Arabidopsis thaliana: one gene and its partners. The protein of the gene in region 1 interacts with the protein of each later gene in a biochemical or structural test. Each region holds a gene or a part of one and is shown in the gene's direction. Other genes may lie near its edges.

The links.
Region 2: the proteins of COP1 (region 1) and AT2G34150 form a complex in vitro, tested with the Arabidopsis thaliana proteins (one study listed by BioGRID).
Region 3: the proteins of COP1 (region 1) and CIP8 form a complex in vitro, tested with the Arabidopsis thaliana proteins (3 studies listed by BioGRID).

What each region holds. Positions count from the first base shown.
Region 1 is NC_003071.7:13,976,204-13,983,897, forward strand, and holds COP1 (Transducin/WD40 repeat-like superfamily protein), read left to right. Parts: upstream 1-1,677; 5' UTR 1,678-1,796; coding exon 1,797-2,114; intron 2,115-2,453; coding exon 2,454-2,531; intron 2,532-2,665; coding exon of another isoform or gene 2,666-2,669; coding exon 2,670-2,825; intron 2,826-3,082; coding exon 3,083-3,433; intron 3,434-4,003; coding exon 4,004-4,161; intron 4,162-4,255; coding exon 4,256-4,321; intron 4,322-4,848; coding exon 4,849-4,927; intron 4,928-5,217; coding exon 5,218-5,373; intron 5,374-5,469; coding exon 5,470-5,568; intron 5,569-6,174; coding exon 6,175-6,279; intron 6,280-6,421; coding exon 6,422-6,601; intron 6,602-6,686; coding exon 6,687-6,797; intron 6,798-6,908; coding exon 6,909-7,079; 3' UTR 7,080-7,406; downstream 7,407-7,694. Other genes in the region: AGO6 (Argonaute family protein), read right to left, coding at 1-80, 178-383, 471-653. UniProt on the Arabidopsis thaliana protein: E3 ubiquitin-protein ligase that acts as a repressor of photomorphogenesis and as an activator of etiolation in darkness.
Region 2 is NC_003071.7:14,418,725-14,425,144, reverse strand, and holds AT2G34150 (SCAR family protein), read left to right. Parts: upstream 1-1,673; 5' UTR 1,674-1,885; coding exon 1,886-2,040; intron 2,041-2,283; coding exon 2,284-2,447; intron 2,448-2,453; exon of another isoform or gene 2,454-2,739; coding exon 2,740-2,863; intron 2,864-2,970; coding exon 2,971-3,067; exon of another isoform or gene 3,068-3,098; coding exon of another isoform or gene 3,099-3,158; coding exon 3,159-3,226; intron 3,227-3,304; coding exon 3,305-4,901; intron 4,902-4,988; coding exon 4,989-5,084; intron 5,085-5,453; coding exon 5,454-5,558; intron 5,559-5,653; coding exon 5,654-5,713; 3' UTR 5,714-5,882; downstream 5,883-6,420. UniProt on the Arabidopsis thaliana protein: Involved in regulation of actin and microtubule organization. Part of a WAVE complex that activates the Arp2/3 complex. Regulates trichome branch positioning and expansion.
Region 3 is NC_003076.8:25,943,350-25,947,270, reverse strand, and holds CIP8 (COP1-interacting protein 8), read left to right. Parts: upstream 1-1,828; 5' UTR 1,829-1,928; coding exon 1,929-2,933; 3' UTR 2,934-3,156; coding exon of another isoform or gene 3,157-3,260; 3' UTR 3,261-3,280; downstream 3,281-3,921. Other genes in the region: CPR5 protein, read left to right, coding at 59-94, 172-1,386; AT5G64910 (Serine/Threonine-kinase), read right to left, coding at 3,157-3,243, 3,347-3,478, 3,547-3,594, 3,682-3,744, 3,811-3,849. UniProt on the Arabidopsis thaliana protein: E3 ubiquitin-protein ligase that mediates ubiquitination and subsequent proteasomal degradation of target proteins. Probably forms a minimal ubiquitin ligase complex in cooperation with the E2 enzyme UBC8.

The sequences.
Region 1 (7,694 bases):
TGTAACTTCTTGGCAAGAAAGAACGTTTTGATCGCTTGCAAGTACCGGAAGAACTACCACCATCAGAGACACCACAATCACTATAAACTTAACAAGACTGCGTTAGTTAGAAGATCAACAAGATCTATCTTGACACCTTGAAACGATTAAATATCAATCCAGATAAGAGGGACATACCGTTTTGAAAATGACCCTTCCACGATGACTAGAAAGTCAAATTCGTTCTGTGGTAGAGGACCAACAGTATATAAAGTCTTCTCTCCATCATATGCCAACCTTTTACCATCAAGATCAGAAGAGTAAGTCTTGAATAGTTGGTCCATAAGCTTTCTGCTTATTCCTGTCCCATCAACAGCATCACCGTTTTCTGTGGTGATACTAACCTGCAAAAAAGGTACCGATATGTCAAACATCTCACACACGCACAGACACTGATGAAAGAATGCAGAAAAGTGACTAATGAATCTTACAGTGTACTGGTAAAATACTACATCCGGCTGTCTCACAGAAACATTAAAGTGATTGGTGCACAATTCTATTGGGTTGCCTGTGGTTCCAACCCCACGTCTAGTTGTGATGTCATAATCTCGATGGCTGGGCTGTTCTGGTTCTATACTTATGGGTGACAGTGGCAGAGATGAAGATGTCTCCATCCTTCCAGGGGAAAATAATCTGCAAGAGAGAAAAGTGGAGGTTGGTTACAGTGTGCAAAAACCAGTCCAAAACACAATGCTCAGGAGACTAAGAAAGAAAAGAAAAACACCAAATTAAGAAGACAACTCCAAAAGGTAAAAAGCTAAAAACTTTACCACCATTGTCGTTCTAAGATTTTAATTTCTGGGCATATCCTGCTAAATCGCGAGAAATGGTATAAATTTCAGATGAGGAACAAACTTAATCTGGAAAAAAAATGGCACCTTTAACTGTTGGTCGCCTTCAAAATTGAGAAACATTACACAAACAAAAACTCATTCGAGTGTGTCATACAGTAGCATAACAAGACTTTCAAGAGAGAAACAACGCAGCCAAAACCATACAACTATCAACAGACAAATCCTAGCTTCATGCAAATTCTCCGAAAGAGAGACAAAAACAAAACCTAGCTCCGAATCAACAACAATTACAACAGCGATATCTAGTGAAAACAGCGCACCTTTGAAAGAATTAAGAAGAGGATTTCTAGGGTTCCGGTGAATCAAAGAGAGGAATTTATTTAGCTCATTTCTCTTCTCCGTCACAGTCTCTTTGGGTTTCCCAGACAAGCAAAAGAATGGAGGGAACGTTTCCAGTGATGGGAAAATTAAAATATATTTCACTTTTCAGTCATTTTTTACAGTAACAAAATTTAAGAACTGAAATAAAAATGGTTTATTCCAAAATTATTAAACCGAATCCTTCAAAACTTATTCTATTTCTAGGGTTATGCTCCGGTTGAATGGATTGAAATTCCCAACTTATTCATTTCAAATAGTAAGAAATAAAATGAATGGTTGTAAGAAATTAAATTAGACCGTCGTGGTAATTGTAAGAAATTTCATTGAACCGGACTATAAATTAGAAGCCGGATAATTAAACCGTACCAGCGCTTGGAGAAACGCCAGACACACGCGCGAAAAGAAGCGCGTAGACCAGAACGTGTAGGATTTGTCACCTCAGAAAAGAACCACGGTGGATCCCACCACACCTCAGCCTCACTCCTCCTTCATCTCCGACGTCATACCCAAACCACTCTTTTCTCACAATTCCGATTTTCTCAAAAACCAAAATCACAATCGAAGAAATCTTTTGAAAGCAAAATGGAAGAGATTTCGACGGATCCGGTTGTTCCAGCGGTGAAACCTGACCCGAGAACATCTTCAGTTGGTGAAGGTGCTAATCGTCATGAAAATGACGACGGAGGAAGCGGCGGTTCTGAGATTGGAGCACCGGATCTGGATAAAGACTTGCTTTGTCCGATTTGTATGCAGATTATTAAAGATGCTTTCCTCACGGCTTGTGGTCATAGTTTCTGCTATATGTGTATCATCACACATCTTAGGAACAAGAGTGATTGTCCCTGTTGTAGCCAACACCTCACCAATAATCAGCTTTACCCTAATTTCTTGCTCGATAAGGTTTCTTTTTCTAATTTTACTCGTAATTTGTGTTTGGTCCTTAGCTTTTCAGTTCAAGTTCGGGTGTTGCTTGTTTGAGTCTTAGCTTGTAATCAAGTTTGGTTTTTGTCGTGGTTTTTGTGGAAACAAGTAAGCTAGCTTAGTCTTTAATCGATTCCAATGAACCTTGCCATTAGATTTTCTTAGGAAGGTTTTGTTTTGTTTTTGATGTGTAGTATTGTGGTAGGATTCTGCTTATTACAGCTAAATAGAAGCATGTTTATAGGAATGATAGTGTATTGAAACTATTTATCACTGGAATGCAGCTTATTATATGACGTTTATGTATCAATTGTGTAGCTATTGAAGAAAACTTCAGCTCGGCATGTGTCAAAAACTGCATCGCCCTTGGATCAGTTTCGGGAAGCACTACAAAGGGTCGGTTCTTAACAAGCTTTTTATGTTTCATTTTTTCCTCTTTAAGTTTGCTTTCTCAGAATTATTATTGGAGTAAAAAGCAATTCTAAGTCATTTCTTTTGATCAAATATTGACTTCCTGCGTTCATACTTAGACAGGGTTGTGATGTGTCAATTAAGGAGGTTGATAATCTTCTGACACTTCTTGCGGAAAGGAAGAGAAAAATGGAACAGGAAGAAGCTGAGAGGAACATGCAGATACTTTTGGACTTTTTGCATTGTCTAAGGAAGCAAAAAGTTGATGAACTAAATGAGGTTGGTTTGTCTGAATTATGGAGTAGCATTGGGCTACCTATTGATAATTATTCTCGTTGCTCTTCATTCCATTTGCTTCAAAATCTTCACTGGGTTTAGACTGTATAGTTGTTGTAAAAGAAAGCCATAAACCATGTTTCTATCAATAGATGTATGATCTATCCAACTATTCATGAGACGTATAACCCCTGAATGTTAGATGAGATCTCAGAATATTATAGAATTCTGTCATTTATGTCTTCTCTATCTTAATGTAGGTGCAAACTGATCTCCAGTATATTAAAGAAGATATAAATGCCGTTGAGAGACATAGAATAGATTTATACCGAGCTAGGGACAGATATTCTGTAAAGTTGCGGATGCTCGGAGATGATCCAAGCACAAGAAATGCATGGCCACATGAGAAGAACCAGATTGGTTTCAACTCCAATTCTCTCAGCATAAGAGGAGGAAATTTTGTAGGCAATTATCAAAACAAAAAGGTAGAGGGGAAGGCACAAGGAAGCTCTCATGGGCTACCAAAGAAGGATGCGCTGAGTGGGTCAGATTCGCAAAGTTTGAATCAGTCAACTGTCTCAATGGCTAGAAAGAAACGGATTCATGCTCAGGTTTGTTCCTCCTTGTCTACTCAACATCTTTATGCTGAAATGGTAAAAGGACAATGGCATTAAAGTTTAAGATATTTGTCTATTAAAGAATAAGAATAATTACTACAATTAGGCCCCAGTGATTGTGTTACAGTTACTACCATGCCTAGCTACTCAGCTCTTGGTCATCTGGATTGACAGCTCGAGAAATTGAAAGTGGTTGTGGGTAGAGGATGAATCTTCTTACGGAAAAGATACCTTAGATTAAGGCCCACATTTTTGGTGGTCTTTATAAAAAGCCGATTGGACTTCAGAGAGATTGATTTCGTATTGTTTGCACGTAAAAGTAGAAATAGCTTTCTGGACTTTATATCTACTGCTTAGTGATAGTAGCCGCTTCTTGTCTCTCTGGTACTATAGCAACAAAAAGTCACTATGTTCTCTAGACACACTAACAGTTCTGTGAATACTATGCAATCACAATTATAGTAGTTTTCTTGAAAAAACCTGCATGGTCCTTTAATCTCTCTGTAACTGCTTGTTGATATATGCACAGATTGCCTAATTCTGTTAAAGTGTCTTGTCTTGTAGTTCAATGATTTACAAGAATGTTACCTCCAAAAGCGGCGTCAGTTGGCAGACCAACCAAATAGTAAACAAGAAAATGATAAGAGTGTAGTACGGAGGGAAGGCTATAGCAACGGCCTTGCAGATTTTCAATCTGTGTTGACTACCTTCACTCGCTACAGGTAGAGGAGTGACTATCCCTTTTCAATCGGTCTAGCCGTACATAAAGAGTGTTTTCGAATTAGTTGGGGTTTTAATTGCACTCTTTATTCACAGTCGTCTAAGAGTTATAGCAGAAATCCGGCATGGGGATATATTTCATTCAGCCAACATTGTATCAAGGTGAATTTTCTATTCCTTGTTCGTTGATCAGATAACAGATGATAGGTACCAAAAGAATGTCTCCGAATATATCAAAATAGACCCTTAAGTGATTAAGTTTTGTTTAATGTATTGATAGACGCAATTATTACTATGGGATTCGTTGCTGTGTAATTCTAAGCCAGTGAATAGTATGAAGATAAAACTGCTGACATGGTAGGGAGAAGGTTGTGTAGTCAGCAGGCCACTTGAGGAGAATTTTCTAAAAGATGGAACACTATGTTATCCTTATCCATGTCGGAATATATAGAATCGGTTTGCGATCTTTTATATGAAAGTGTCTCTTCTCAATGAAGAGACGAAAGATATATATTTTTAGTTTATGGTCTGGGAGCTCCGGGGCTCATATCTTTTTCTCTCTATGTGCTTTGGTTTATGGTCTTCCATAGTTTACATGCTTTATGCTTTGCCTGGACCTCTAGTTTACCTGTAATTTGATGTACCATCTTACTGATTTTGCTGATGAAGAGGGTGCTGTTCCTTTTCAGCATAGAGTTTGATCGTGATGATGAGCTGTTTGCCACTGCTGGTGTTTCTAGATGTATAAAGGTTTTTGACTTCTCTTCGGTACGTTCATAAATCTTGGAGTGCATTCAATTACATACCAATTGAATCTTCTTGTCCAACCTTATGCTTTTGTGAAACTGATCATGCATCTCAATTCTAAGAAAGCTTCGTTGATAATGAAACTAAGTTATGCTCTTGGGAAATTCTAGCTTTGATGCAAGATAGCCATTTTACACTTTTGTATTGCGTAGAAGAATATAAATCAAAGCTAATCAAATTTTTGGTTTTAATTTTCTGTTTTATCCAATGGACCACGCTGAACTGATTGATTATCGGCTGCTACTTTTCAGGTTGTAAATGAACCAGCAGATATGCAGTGTCCGATTGTGGAGATGTCAACTCGGTCTAAACTTAGTTGCTTGAGTTGGAATAAGCATGAAAAAAATCACATAGCAAGCAGTGATTATGAAGGAATAGTAACAGTGTGGGATGTAACTACTAGGCAGGTGAGTACTTTACCCAAAGTATCTAACATCGCACCTATAAGATATTCATCTCATGAATTCTGCAGCGTATTTGAATTTTTATGTAAACTGAGGCAGAGTCTTATGGAGTATGAAGAGCACGAAAAACGTGCCTGGAGTGTTGACTTTTCACGAACAGAACCATCAATGCTTGTATCTGGTAGTGACGACTGCAAGGTAAATATCTCCATATTTTCCGTTATCACCTTTCATCTCACATTGGGCTATGTCTCATATAAAAAGAATACTACTTTTAGATATCTCCTAGCTCTTATAACTAACTTGGTCACGGATTTGTCTAATTTCTACGACGAACTAAAGAGACATATTGTGAAACAAAACTGGAGAATCTCCTACTTGCTCATTAGTACATTGTGTTCTCATGAATCTTTTCTACTACTTCTTAAACTTTTCTTTGAGTTGTTCTTCCCAACTTGGGGATTGGTCATATGTAGCCCTTCCTACATTGAATGTTTGTTGGTTTCTTAAATTTTCAGCAAAATTTTCCCCTTAGTGTATCTGTGGTGGCTATACATTAGGAAACAAACGAAACTGGACACTTGTATATAGTAGATTTTACCTTGAAATTTTGTAGCTTCATTTGTCCAAATTTAATTAAACGTTATTGAAAAATTCACTGGATTTCTAATTCTGACAAAAGCATATTATACCAGTGGGCTCCTTTTAAGTCAATTCACTACTAGTTAATCCTCAACCATGCATTATTGCATCTGTTAAATCATGTCTCATAGATTAACCAATTGTGCTGTGTGTTTGATCCAGGTTAAAGTTTGGTGCACGAGGCAGGAAGCAAGTGTGATTAATATTGATATGAAAGCAAACATATGTTGTGTCAAGTACAATCCTGGCTCAAGCAACTACATTGCGGTATATACTTCCACGCCTCAACTTTGCATCTCACATTTATTCGCTACCACTCATGATCAGCATGACACTATCACACGTCTCTAGATATAATCTTTAATTAGATAGAGAGACTTAGACGTTTAAGCCTGTTGACTTATCACAGGTCGGATCAGCTGATCATCACATCCATTATTACGATCTAAGAAACATAAGCCAACCACTTCATGTCTTCAGTGGACACAAGAAAGCAGTTTCCTATGTTAAATTTTTGTCCAACAACGAGCTCGCTTCTGCGTCCACAGATAGCACACTACGCTTATGGGATGTCAAAGACAACTTGCCAGTTAGATTACTGCCCGAGCCAATCTTGCAGATTCAGTCAAAAAGAAAAACTTGTCTTGACTATGTTGTTCAATTTTACTTTTCAGGTTCGAACATTCAGAGGACATACTAACGAGAAGAACTTTGTGGGTCTCACAGTGAACAGCGAGTATCTCGCCTGTGGAAGCGAGACAAACGAAGTATATGTATATCACAAGGTTCACAAATCCGAAACCTCTGCTCTCAACTTTAGCATTTTTCATTCATGATTCACAGATTTTCAACCTGTCGTTGCTCAAGTATTTTAAAATGTGAATGATGCGATGCAGGAAATCACGAGACCCGTGACATCGCACAGATTTGGATCGCCAGACATGGACGATGCAGAGGAAGAGGCAGGTTCCTACTTTATTAGTGCGGTTTGCTGGAAGAGTGATAGTCCCACGATGTTGACTGCGAATAGTCAAGGAACCATCAAAGTTCTGGTACTCGCTGCGTGATTCTAGTAGACATTACAAAAGATCTTATAGCTTCGTGAATCAATAAAAACAAATTTGCCGTCTATGTTCTTTAGTGGGAGTTACATATAGAGAGAGAACAATTTATTAAAAGTAGGGTTCATCATTTGGAAAGCAACTTTGTATTATTATGCTTGCCTTGGAACACTCCTCAAGAAGAATTTGTATCAGTGATGTAGATATGTCTTACGGTTTCTTAGCTTCTACTTTATATAATTAAATGTTAGAATCAAAATGCGGTGATGTGAATCGGTCATGAAAAGTCAAACCTTGGCTTATACAAAAGGTCCGACCCATGCAATAAGTCATTAGTATGTTCATGTAGCAAGATCATTGAAAAAAAAAAATCATTTTATAATGTAAAATTCATGAGAATTGACGAATTTGTGTCATAAGTGAAATTATATACAATTACTTAACACCTCTAAATTAACTCATAACAAAGTGATTGTGTGACACATTTTCATAAATTGGTCGTATCAATACTATAAGAGTAACCCTTTTAAATTTGGATACGCAACTAGGGATGGCATGATGTCTATATAAAATCATGCATGCTTTGTGAAGTTTAAATCACATGGCCAAACATTTTAGTTT
Region 2 (6,420 bases), 440 kb from region 1:
TATGTCAAATTATATGAGAATGCTAGTGCACCATTCGATGGTCTGATCTTTAATCAAAGCACATTTCGAGATTTACTATGATATAAAAAAAAACATGAGATGACCGCCAATTTTGTTTTGTTAACCAATTTCGTGTTTAAAATTTATGTATATTTTTCAGCAATGTTGTAGTTTTTATTTAAACCATTGAGTTTTGTAAGTGTCACTTTATTGACCGCCATTTTTTGTGAAGAGTTACTTGTGATTGATAATATATGATGGAAAACAATGCAATAGTATAGCTCATAGAATCTGCGTCAAAGATTACCATTAATGGTTGATAGGAGTAGCAAGTAACAACTTATAAAATATTTAATGGACAGAACAATTTAGGAGTAATAATAAATAATAAATGACATGTGATTAAATTTATGTTTAGGTAGCATCCATAAATAGACGACCAGCTAAAAGTCATGCATTGATCTAATCGCATCACTTATTTAATAATACTATACCTACCAAGGACCATAAGAATTGATTACTTCTAATACTGTGTATTAGCTTGTATGGAGTACTGGAGTAGTACTGTGGATCTTCGATCCATATGTCTGAACTGTAGTTTATAAATAAAATGTATTTATATGTTAGTATCAAGAAAAACGACAAAAGAATTCGAGTTGATAAATTGCTTTGGTTAATGGGAGCCAGATCCAAAACTCTAGAAGCACAGATCTAAAATGCTTGTGCATGATTTATTATTGTGTATATATGCCTAAACGAGGATGGAGTAAGTCACACATCCACATGCATGTGTGCAAGTCCTCAAGTAGTGTAAGATATAGATGTATGAATACATTCACCCACACGCGCACACACTACGCAGCGTGTGTAGATGGAAGATATTATGCAACTCTTGTAACATCAAACTTGATTGTATAGATCAAGGATGCGAGAGGCACACCATTACGGCAATACATACACTTCCGCTTTACTAGATTCATTATGAAAATCTTTGAATTGTACCATCATCATTCATATATAGTTGGTGTCAAAAACAAAAACAAATCACAGCTATAGAGTTTGAGTACAAGTGTTACGTATGTATTGATGCCTCATTTATGGGAGTTTTGTTCTCCAATAAATATGTAGCCAACTCAACAAGTCTATTTCCTCGCAAACGACCAAATTCTCATTCAATGATTCAAACTTTAACGCTATCTAAACTGTAACGCATTTCTATTTTATAATAGAAGTCTTCAAATGCTCATTCAATGATCCAAACTTTAACTTCTAGTTTTATACTCCATATTTGTGCAAAATGTATATGATATAATATTACAAGTAGTAGAAGTTTTTTGTTTTAGTAGCTAGTAGTAGAAGATTAAGCAGAGTAAGTTCTCATTAGATGACTTAAGCATACAAATATAGTATTACAAGTAGGGGTTATACACATGACTAAAAATGTTTATAGTTCTTTTTAAATAATTTATGTTTAGCACTAACAAATTCTTATAAAAACTAAAGTTTATTTTCGGGAAATTATGTAAGTAACAAATGACTAATTTGGATCATGATTCGCTCCATATGGGTAGGTTATGGGTACCTTTCTTTTTGCTCCAAGCCCTTTTTCGTAATTTTCTCTTAGCACTTTTAGTTAAAATGATGACATTGAAAAAGGGAATGGCTTGCGGTGTTAGCAATGTCTCCGAGTCTCTCTTTTCTCTTTTTACAACGAAAAACCTTTTTGTAATCTCCAAATTTTCCCTCTCTCTCTCGTTTCGGCGGTTAAGCTGCCATAATCTCTCACCCACCTCAAGCAACATAACCCACAAAAACTCAATCTTTGTTTCTTATCTTCAAAACCCATCTGATCATTCCTCCGGAATCTTTCTCAAGAACAGAGCAAATGCCGCTTGTTAGGCTCCAAGTTAGGAATGTCTACGGTTTAGGGCAAAAAGAGCTTCACACAAAAGTCGACCGTGAAGACCCTAAAGCGATTCTCGACGACGTCGCCGTTTCTGGACTCGTCGGGATCTTGCGTCAACTCGGTGATCTCACAGAGTAAGTAGTACTTTAAGTCAACTCTGTTTCCTCTGTTTCTTTTTTTTTATAATTGACTTATAAATGTTTTTAAAAAAAAAAAAATCTTAAGTAAAAATGTGACAATATGGAGTCAGTGATCTTCTTTGATTCTCTGTAAAATCTTTAATTTTGCTGTGTTTGGTCTTCTTCATTTGCTTATTTTATGGTTCTCAGCCAATCTTACTTGTCCTGAGTTTTTATGTTAAACTCACATTGTTTCAGATTCGCAGCAGAGATATTCCATGGAATACAAGAGGAGGTAATGATAACAGCATCAAGAAGCAACAAATTGAAGATGAGATTGAAGCAAATAGAAGCTAAAGTTCCTACAATCCAAAAGACAGTGCTTGCACAAACAAATCACATTCATTTTGCATACACTGGAGGTTTCTTTTGTCTTGTTTCTCTTGTCAATCTTCTTTAATGTCTAGATTCACATGTTTGTTCTTTAATCAAAAATTTATATCCTGTTGAGTTTATTGTAGGCCCTAGCTCACATGCCTTTTGCACTAACTTCTTAGCTTAAAATACTCTTTTTTGAGTTTAGAATTTGATGATGAATGATACTAGTAGTCTTTCTTATGGATCTTAATTAAATAAGTCATGATCTTTCACTATTTGAGTTCTTTAGAAAATTTAAGTATAGTTAATGAACATAGTGTTTACATGCTGTTTTAGGTCTGGAGTGGCATCCTCGTATACCAAATGTGCAAAATCACTTTATGTATGACGAATTGCCACCGTTTATTATGACTCCATATGAAGATTGCCGGGAACCTCCGCGGTTACACTTGCTTGACAAGTATATACACCTTTTAACTCTCATTTTCTTTTTTGTTATTACTGTTTCTGCTATGTTTTAGACTGATGATAATAAATATGATGCTGATTCTTAGCGGTTTTTGTCAGATTTGATATAAATGGTCCAGGTTCTTGTTTGAAACGATACTCGGATCCTACTCATTTCAAAAGAGCATCAAGAGCTTCTAAACCTTCAGAGATTAAGGTTTGTTTTAGAGATTCAGTCTGTTAATACCATGTTTTGTAGAGTTTCTTCTTTTTCTTGTTTGCTACCTAAACTTGTATGGATGATGCAGAAGAAAAAATCTATACAACGCGGTCGAGATATATCAAGACTTGCCTCTGTGGCTAACCAGAGTGACAGGTAATGACATTTGGATTTGACATTGTAGAGATGTTTTCATATATGACTCAAAACATGAATATATGATATGATGTTCAGGAAGACATGTACTTCTTTAAGCTTCAGTGGACGAACCTCTACCTCTAAAACTGCTTCAACGATTGAAATTGAGTCGAAATCCGACTTGCAAGAGCATCGTTCTTTCTCTTTCGATTCAAGAAGTGGTGGAGAGAAACCGAAGAGGGTATCTTCTTCTTCAAGGTTTACACCGGGTTCTCGCACCATTGCTTCAGTTCTTTCTGAAAGTGAAAGTGAAAGTGATAGTCCTTCTCAAGATTTAACAGCTCGTGGTTCTTCTAGTGTTAGTTGGCACGAGAAAGCTGAGATAGTGGAATGCAATGTTCTGCAGTGTGCAACAGATGAAGCTCCTGAAGTAATGGAAACTAACTTTGTCTTGGATGCTGAACCGGTATCAAGACTTAAAGAACATTCAGCGGTTGAAGCGGTCCAAGATATCAAACCGAAGGAACTGGAAATGGACAATGAGGATGAGACTGAAAGCGAAGGGGATGATTTTGTTGATGCACTTTACACCATCGATTCAGAATCTGAAAATGATGAAGCTTTCCAAGCCACTAAAGAGGTGCAGAAGAATCTTTACAATGATATTACAGAGCAAGAAACAGAGAAGATTTCTAACAACTTTAGTGTTGATGAGACAAAATGTGCTGCTACATCAGAGCTACATTTATCATCATCACCGGTATATAAATCTGATGAACTGATTCATCAAGATCCATGGGCGGCTTCGGAAATAAGTAGTGGCACTCATAGTTATTCCAATGGCTTCTCAAATCCTTTGTATGATATTAGTGGTATCCAAGAACATCAAGAATCAGAAGAAGTTGAGAGTTCTTGTGACACTGAATCCATTAAAACATGGACTAATGGAAATCTCCTAGGACTGAAACCATCGAAACCGAAAATTATAGCAGAAACTATTCCAGAGATTGTTGAAGACATTGATTCTGAAACCTTCCAAGAGCACTTAAGAGAAGATTATAAGGCTCCTTTTGATTGGTTTACTTCATCTCCTCCACTTGATCACATGAAAATATCTTTCAAATCCTCAGAAACCTTGCCAAGTTCTGAACTACAGCTAAAACTTCCAGATGAATATACATTTTCTTCGTTTCAGTTGGTGCCAGAGACTATTGCTACTTCACTTCCTGATTCTGATTCAGACAAGGACACTTTCTGTAGATCTTCTTCTTACATTTCAGACAACAGTGACAATGACAATCGCTCTGTGTCAATGTCTGAGCAACAGTGGGAAGAAGAATCAGAAGGTATCCGAGAAAGCAAGAGGCAACAAGAGCTCTATGATTCGTTTCACAGAGTCAATGCTGAAGCTTCTTCTCTACCAGTTCCATTTCCAAAGATTGAAACAACAAATGGTTGTTTAGTTGAAAATGTCTCTTACCTCCAAAATCCAGCTGAGCCATTACCACCGCCTCTCCCACCGTTACAGTGGATGGTTTCGAAAATACCGTCAGCTGGATTCGAGGATAACAACAAGCAGTCTCTAAAGGATGCTCTCACACAGGCATTTGAGAAGAACAACAATTCTTTAACTGCAGTCAAGAAAAAAGAACCACACATTGTCACTGTTTCTGATCCTAAACTTGTAACCAAGGTATGGAGAATTAAGTTTTCTTCTCCTTTTTACTGTTTTTTTTTTTTCATCTTTTTGGTATAAGGTATTTTATGTGATGGTTGATAGGTACATCTGAAGAACAATGTGAGGGATTATAAGCAAAGTCATGGCAACACAAATGAGACAGAAGCTGGAGACTTCTTGCATCAAATTCGAACTAAAGTGAGTCTTTTATTCTTGCTTTATATTTTAGCTATATAGAAAATTTCTGTGGTATATGAAAATGCATTCCCTATTCTATTAATTCAAAGTAACCTTTATTAAGGAACATATTTACATAATCGATAATTAAAAAAAAAAAAAACTCAAACCCTTAAAACTAAAAATATATACATTTGTTTTCGTATTTCATTTTTGTCCCGGTTCCCTCTTAATCGAAATGGAAATATATTTTGAACATGTTTTTAGTTTCGTTTGTATAGGAATGAAATGGGAGAAATGATTTTTTGATCCTCCAATTCTCATTTCTGTTTCCACAAAGTCATAAAATGCATTTTTCTTAACCAACAACAACCTTTTGAATCATAACAGCAATTCAACTTGAGACGTGTGGTCAGGACAAAGACATCATCATCAGAAACTACAATGAACACCAATATTAGCGTGATTCTAGAGAAGGCAAACTCTATCCGACAGGTTCCATACATTATTCACATTTATAATCTTACGTTTCAGTTTGCAAGTACCATTTTGGTCATTAAAGCACTTACATTTCGGACTTGTTATATCAGGCTGTAGCAAGCGACGATGGAGAAGGCGAAAGCGATACATGGAGCGATAGCGACACATGACAACATCATTCATTTCGGTTCTCATATGTTTATTGTGTAGTAGATATAGGTCGATTTTGTCGTACGTTTATATTTGTATCTTCAACAAAGAGATAAGGTTCTGAAAAATAAAATAATTATAGAATATGTTACGTCTGAATCTCTAGATGATTATTGATAATTAAACAAACAAAAGAACTGAATTAATTATTTTTTTAAACAAATTATTTAGGTATACATTAAAACGTGAGTTGGCAAATATAGGATCTTGGAAAATAATCATTAGTACTATATAAGTACCCGAAGCCCTAAGCCGTGAAATTCGCTGTGTTCTTTAATTTGAGTCAGTACTTGACACACTAGAAAAAAGATTATGTCCTTGTTTGTACACTTCTTTAAATATTTTCACTTTCTATCTGATACAACAAAAGATAAGCATTTTTTATTTTTTTTTGATCAAAGATAAGCATTTGATATGCTTCTTAGTTCTTACAATTTCACGAGAATTATTTTATACATAATGAATTTCGTTATTAAAGTTAAATTTCTTAAACTTTTATGTTCGGAAAAATTATTTCTAAAAGAAAGAGAATCAGAAATTATTTTGATTGGATCACTAGAGCAAAGCAAAATTGGCGAGACAGCCAGATTTACCAAAAAAGATGCAACCACAAACACTAAAAAGTCTAAAATCAAGTGGGTGACTGGGTGGTAGTCTAGTGGCATTT
Region 3 (3,921 bases), on another chromosome or scaffold:
CTTTCTTTTGCCATCGTTTTGGTAGTGATACAAGAACTTCATTGATTATGCTCTCCAGATCTTTGCTACTCTTGTCGAAGAATCATTAGCCAATGTAAGCTAAAATCCCCCTCTATGTTTTCCGCATTTTTATATTTATAGACTTTCTGATTCATAATGTTGTGGTTACAGGTTTATGGTAATAAGCTTGGTTCCTTTGCGACCAACTTTGAGCAAACATTCAGCAGTACTCTAAAGATCCTTAAATTGACCAATGAATGTGCAAATCCACATCAGTCAAACAATAATGATGGTGGGAGTTGTAATTTAGATCGCTCTACCATAGACGGATGCTCAGACACCGAGCTATTTGAGAGGGAGACTTCATCTGCTACGTCTGCTTATGAAGTGATGCAAGGCAGTGCAACAGCAACCTCTTTGATGAATGAGCTTGCCCTTTTCGAAGAGACTCTACAACTCTCTTGTGTCCCTCCTAGAAGTTCAGCAATGGCTTTGACCACAGACGAAAGGTTTTTAAAAGAGCAAACACGAGCAAACGACCTAAAGACCGTGGAGATTGGTCTTCAAATAAGAGAGTTAAGGTGCAAAGAGACGGCGCTAGGATTAAAATTTGAATCAAACAACCTGGGGAAAGCGGCGCTAGAGTTGGATGTTTCGAAAGCTGCATTCAGAGCGGAGAAATTCAAAACCGAATTAGAAGATACAAGAAAAGAAGAGATGGTCACAAGAATCATGGATTGGCTCCTCGTAAGTGTCTTCAGCATGTTGGCTTCTATGGTACTTGGCGTTTACAATTTTTCAATAAAGAGAATCGAGGATGCTACCTCAGTATGCGACCAATCCGAGGAGAAAAGTTCGTCGTGGTGGGTTCCTAAACAAGTTTCATCGATTAACTCAGGCTTCAACACCTTCATCTGCCGGGTTCGAGTTTGGGTGCAGATATTTTTCGGTGTGTTAATGATCATTGTCTTCACTTACTTTCTAAACAAACGATCATCAGGTACGAAGCAGACAATGCCGATAAGTTTCATCGTTCTTTTCCTCGGTATATTTTGCGGTGTATCGGGTAAATTGTGTGTGGACACATTGGGCGGTGATGGCAAACTCTGGCTAATAGTTTGGGAAGTGTTTTGCCTTTTGCAATTCGTTGCAAATGTCTTCACATTGGCTTTGTATGGTCTAATGTTCGGTCCTATAAACGTGACTCAAGAGACCAGATCGAACCGTTGTAACAGTATGTTTCCATATTGGGCAAGGCGCAGTGTCGTGTATGTGGTGATTCTGTTTGTTCTTCCAGTCATAAACGGTCTTTTGCCATTTGCAACATTTGGTGAATGGAGAGACTTCGCTATGTATCACCTTCATGGTGGGTCTGACTATGCTTGAGACGAGGAGGCCATCTTTGTATTGTAATTTATTGTAACGATTTGGGTTTTTTAATCTTATTTTATTTTATGGGTGCTGTTGAAACAATTGTATCGCTATTACAAAGTTATGTATTCGAGTTATATGTTTGTATTGTTGTCAAAAGAAATTAAAATTATGCTTTTCGATATGACAAAATTTCATGGGTCAAATGGTACTTTATCTTATCAAGTTTTTGGATAAAAGTGCAAGTCAGTTTTGATTTGGAAGCTGGTTTAAATTGGATTGAACAATTTGATTTTTATGTTTGACAGCAATTGAACAGTTTGATTAAATTGTAAGTATTATGAATTTATGATGATGGTGATATCATATATAGAAGAAAATATTATGATATTGTGGGTGGGTCAAGTGGGTAAATGAGCAGGATTCTCTAATGTCTTAAAAATTCGATAATAATAATACAGAGAGACCTTTTTCTTTTATTTTCTCCATCCTCTTAATCGGCTTATCGGATCCGAATCCGGACCCGAAAGCCTGAAAACCCGACGATTAATTGCACGATGTCCGATGCTCCGTCGTCTTCCCCGGATGCCACGGCGTCGCACTGGTGCTATCACTGCAACAAACGCGTCGTCGTTGAAACCTTAGATGACTTTGTCGTGTGCTGCGAATGTAACAAAGGTTTCGTCGAGTCAATTCAACCGACTCCCGCCGCTTATTCATCGCCGGCGCCACCGCAGCCACTTTCCCCAGATCTGAATGTAGAAGACTCCAGTATTGGCTCGCATTTCCTCCAGATGCTCCGCTTGTTAGCCCACGCGCCTTCTCAGCGTTCACCACCACGACACCTTGATGTTTTATCTTACGAAGATGATTTCTTCAGGTTGGAGCTCAATAGTAGAAACGAAATCGACGATGACGAAGACGAAGATGAAGATGATGGAGATGAAGAAGAAGAGGATGAGGAAGAGAATTTAACCGTCAACGACGAAGAAGACGAAGAAGATGATCTGAGGAGGAGAAATCGTTTTCCTCTCACGACGACGCAGTCGAGAACCGGAAGAAACAGAATTCTCGATTGGGCTGAGATTTTGATGGGAATCGAAGACAATTCGATTGAGTTCCGTATGGAATCAGATCGATACGCAGGAAATCCGGCTGATTACATAGACGATGCAGCCGGATACGAAGCTTTGCTACAGAATTTAGCAGAAGGAGATGGTGGTGGTGGCGGAGGAAGGAGAGGCGCACCACCGGCTGCGAAATCGGCAATAGAGGCATTGGAGACTTTCGAGGTTAGTTCTTCGGAGGGAGAGATGGTTATGGTTTGTGCTGTGTGTAAAGATGGAATGGTGATGGGAGAAACTGGTAAGAAGTTACCGTGTGGACATTGTTACCACGGAGATTGTATTGTGCCATGGTTAGGAACAAGGAACTCTTGTCCTGTCTGTAGATTCCAGCTTGAGACTGATGATGCTGAATATGAGGAAGAGAGGAAAAAAAGAACTTCTACCGTGTCAGATTCTGCTGCTGCTTCTTCTTCTTCTTCAACTTCTCGTTACTGAAGTGGAGGAAATGCCCCCATTTGTTGTTACTTTTGTTGTTACTCTTTCTCTTTAGATTAATCTTTGCTTAGTCTCTCAACACTATTTGGTTGGTTGCATGTTGCATCAAAGAAGCGAGAAAACAGAGAACAAAAAAAAAAAATCCGGCTCCAAAAAGACAATTGTTATTTGTAAGTGTGTTGTATCTTTGGCCTAAACAATCCCATAGTGGTTTCTTTGATTCTCAGTTGTTCATAAAGTTTGCCGAAACAAAAAGGTTCCTGGGTTTAGGAGAAACGGTTACAGGACTTCGTGAGCCTTCCCGAAGTACCTGTTTATGAACGGGGACTGCACAGAGACCAACAAACTTATATCAGATTTTGGCAATAATATTCAGAGTTCCATTGACAAACTAAGTTGGATTTGTTTTGTACCTTCTCAATTCCTGCAGTGTGGGGTGTGTCTGGTGAAGGCAATGGATAAAACTTGTACAACCTCATTTCTTGATAGGCTTTTTTTGTTTCTTCGCTCAGTCCTTCCTTTGCTTTCTCTAGGGCTTCTTGTGCCTGCCAATTGTAGAATCCATTGTTAAGTATATGTGCGGCTCTGTAGCAGAGGGTATGAAACATGATACCGTGTCATAAGCTGCCATAGCTTTGTCACTTTTCTCTTTGACAAACTCCTGAAAAAAGGAAACATATGGGTGAGTGATTTTAGAGACCTCCCTCAAATGAATTCATCAAATCAATTCCAGCTCTTGCTTGCTTACCTCGAACGCAACCTTTTGTTCCGGGAGTAATACCTCCTCATTGATCAGACTGTCGGTGAATTCCTAAAATAAACTGAGATGAGAAGTAATTCAAGTAAGGTGTTTTATTGGAAAAGTCAGATACTGCACCTCAATGACGCTTTTCACCCAGTCATATTCACATTCAACCTGCACAAAGGAAAAGTAAGTTTGATTAAAAATGAAACTACCAAATTGTATTGTCGATCAGTTAAGAAAGAC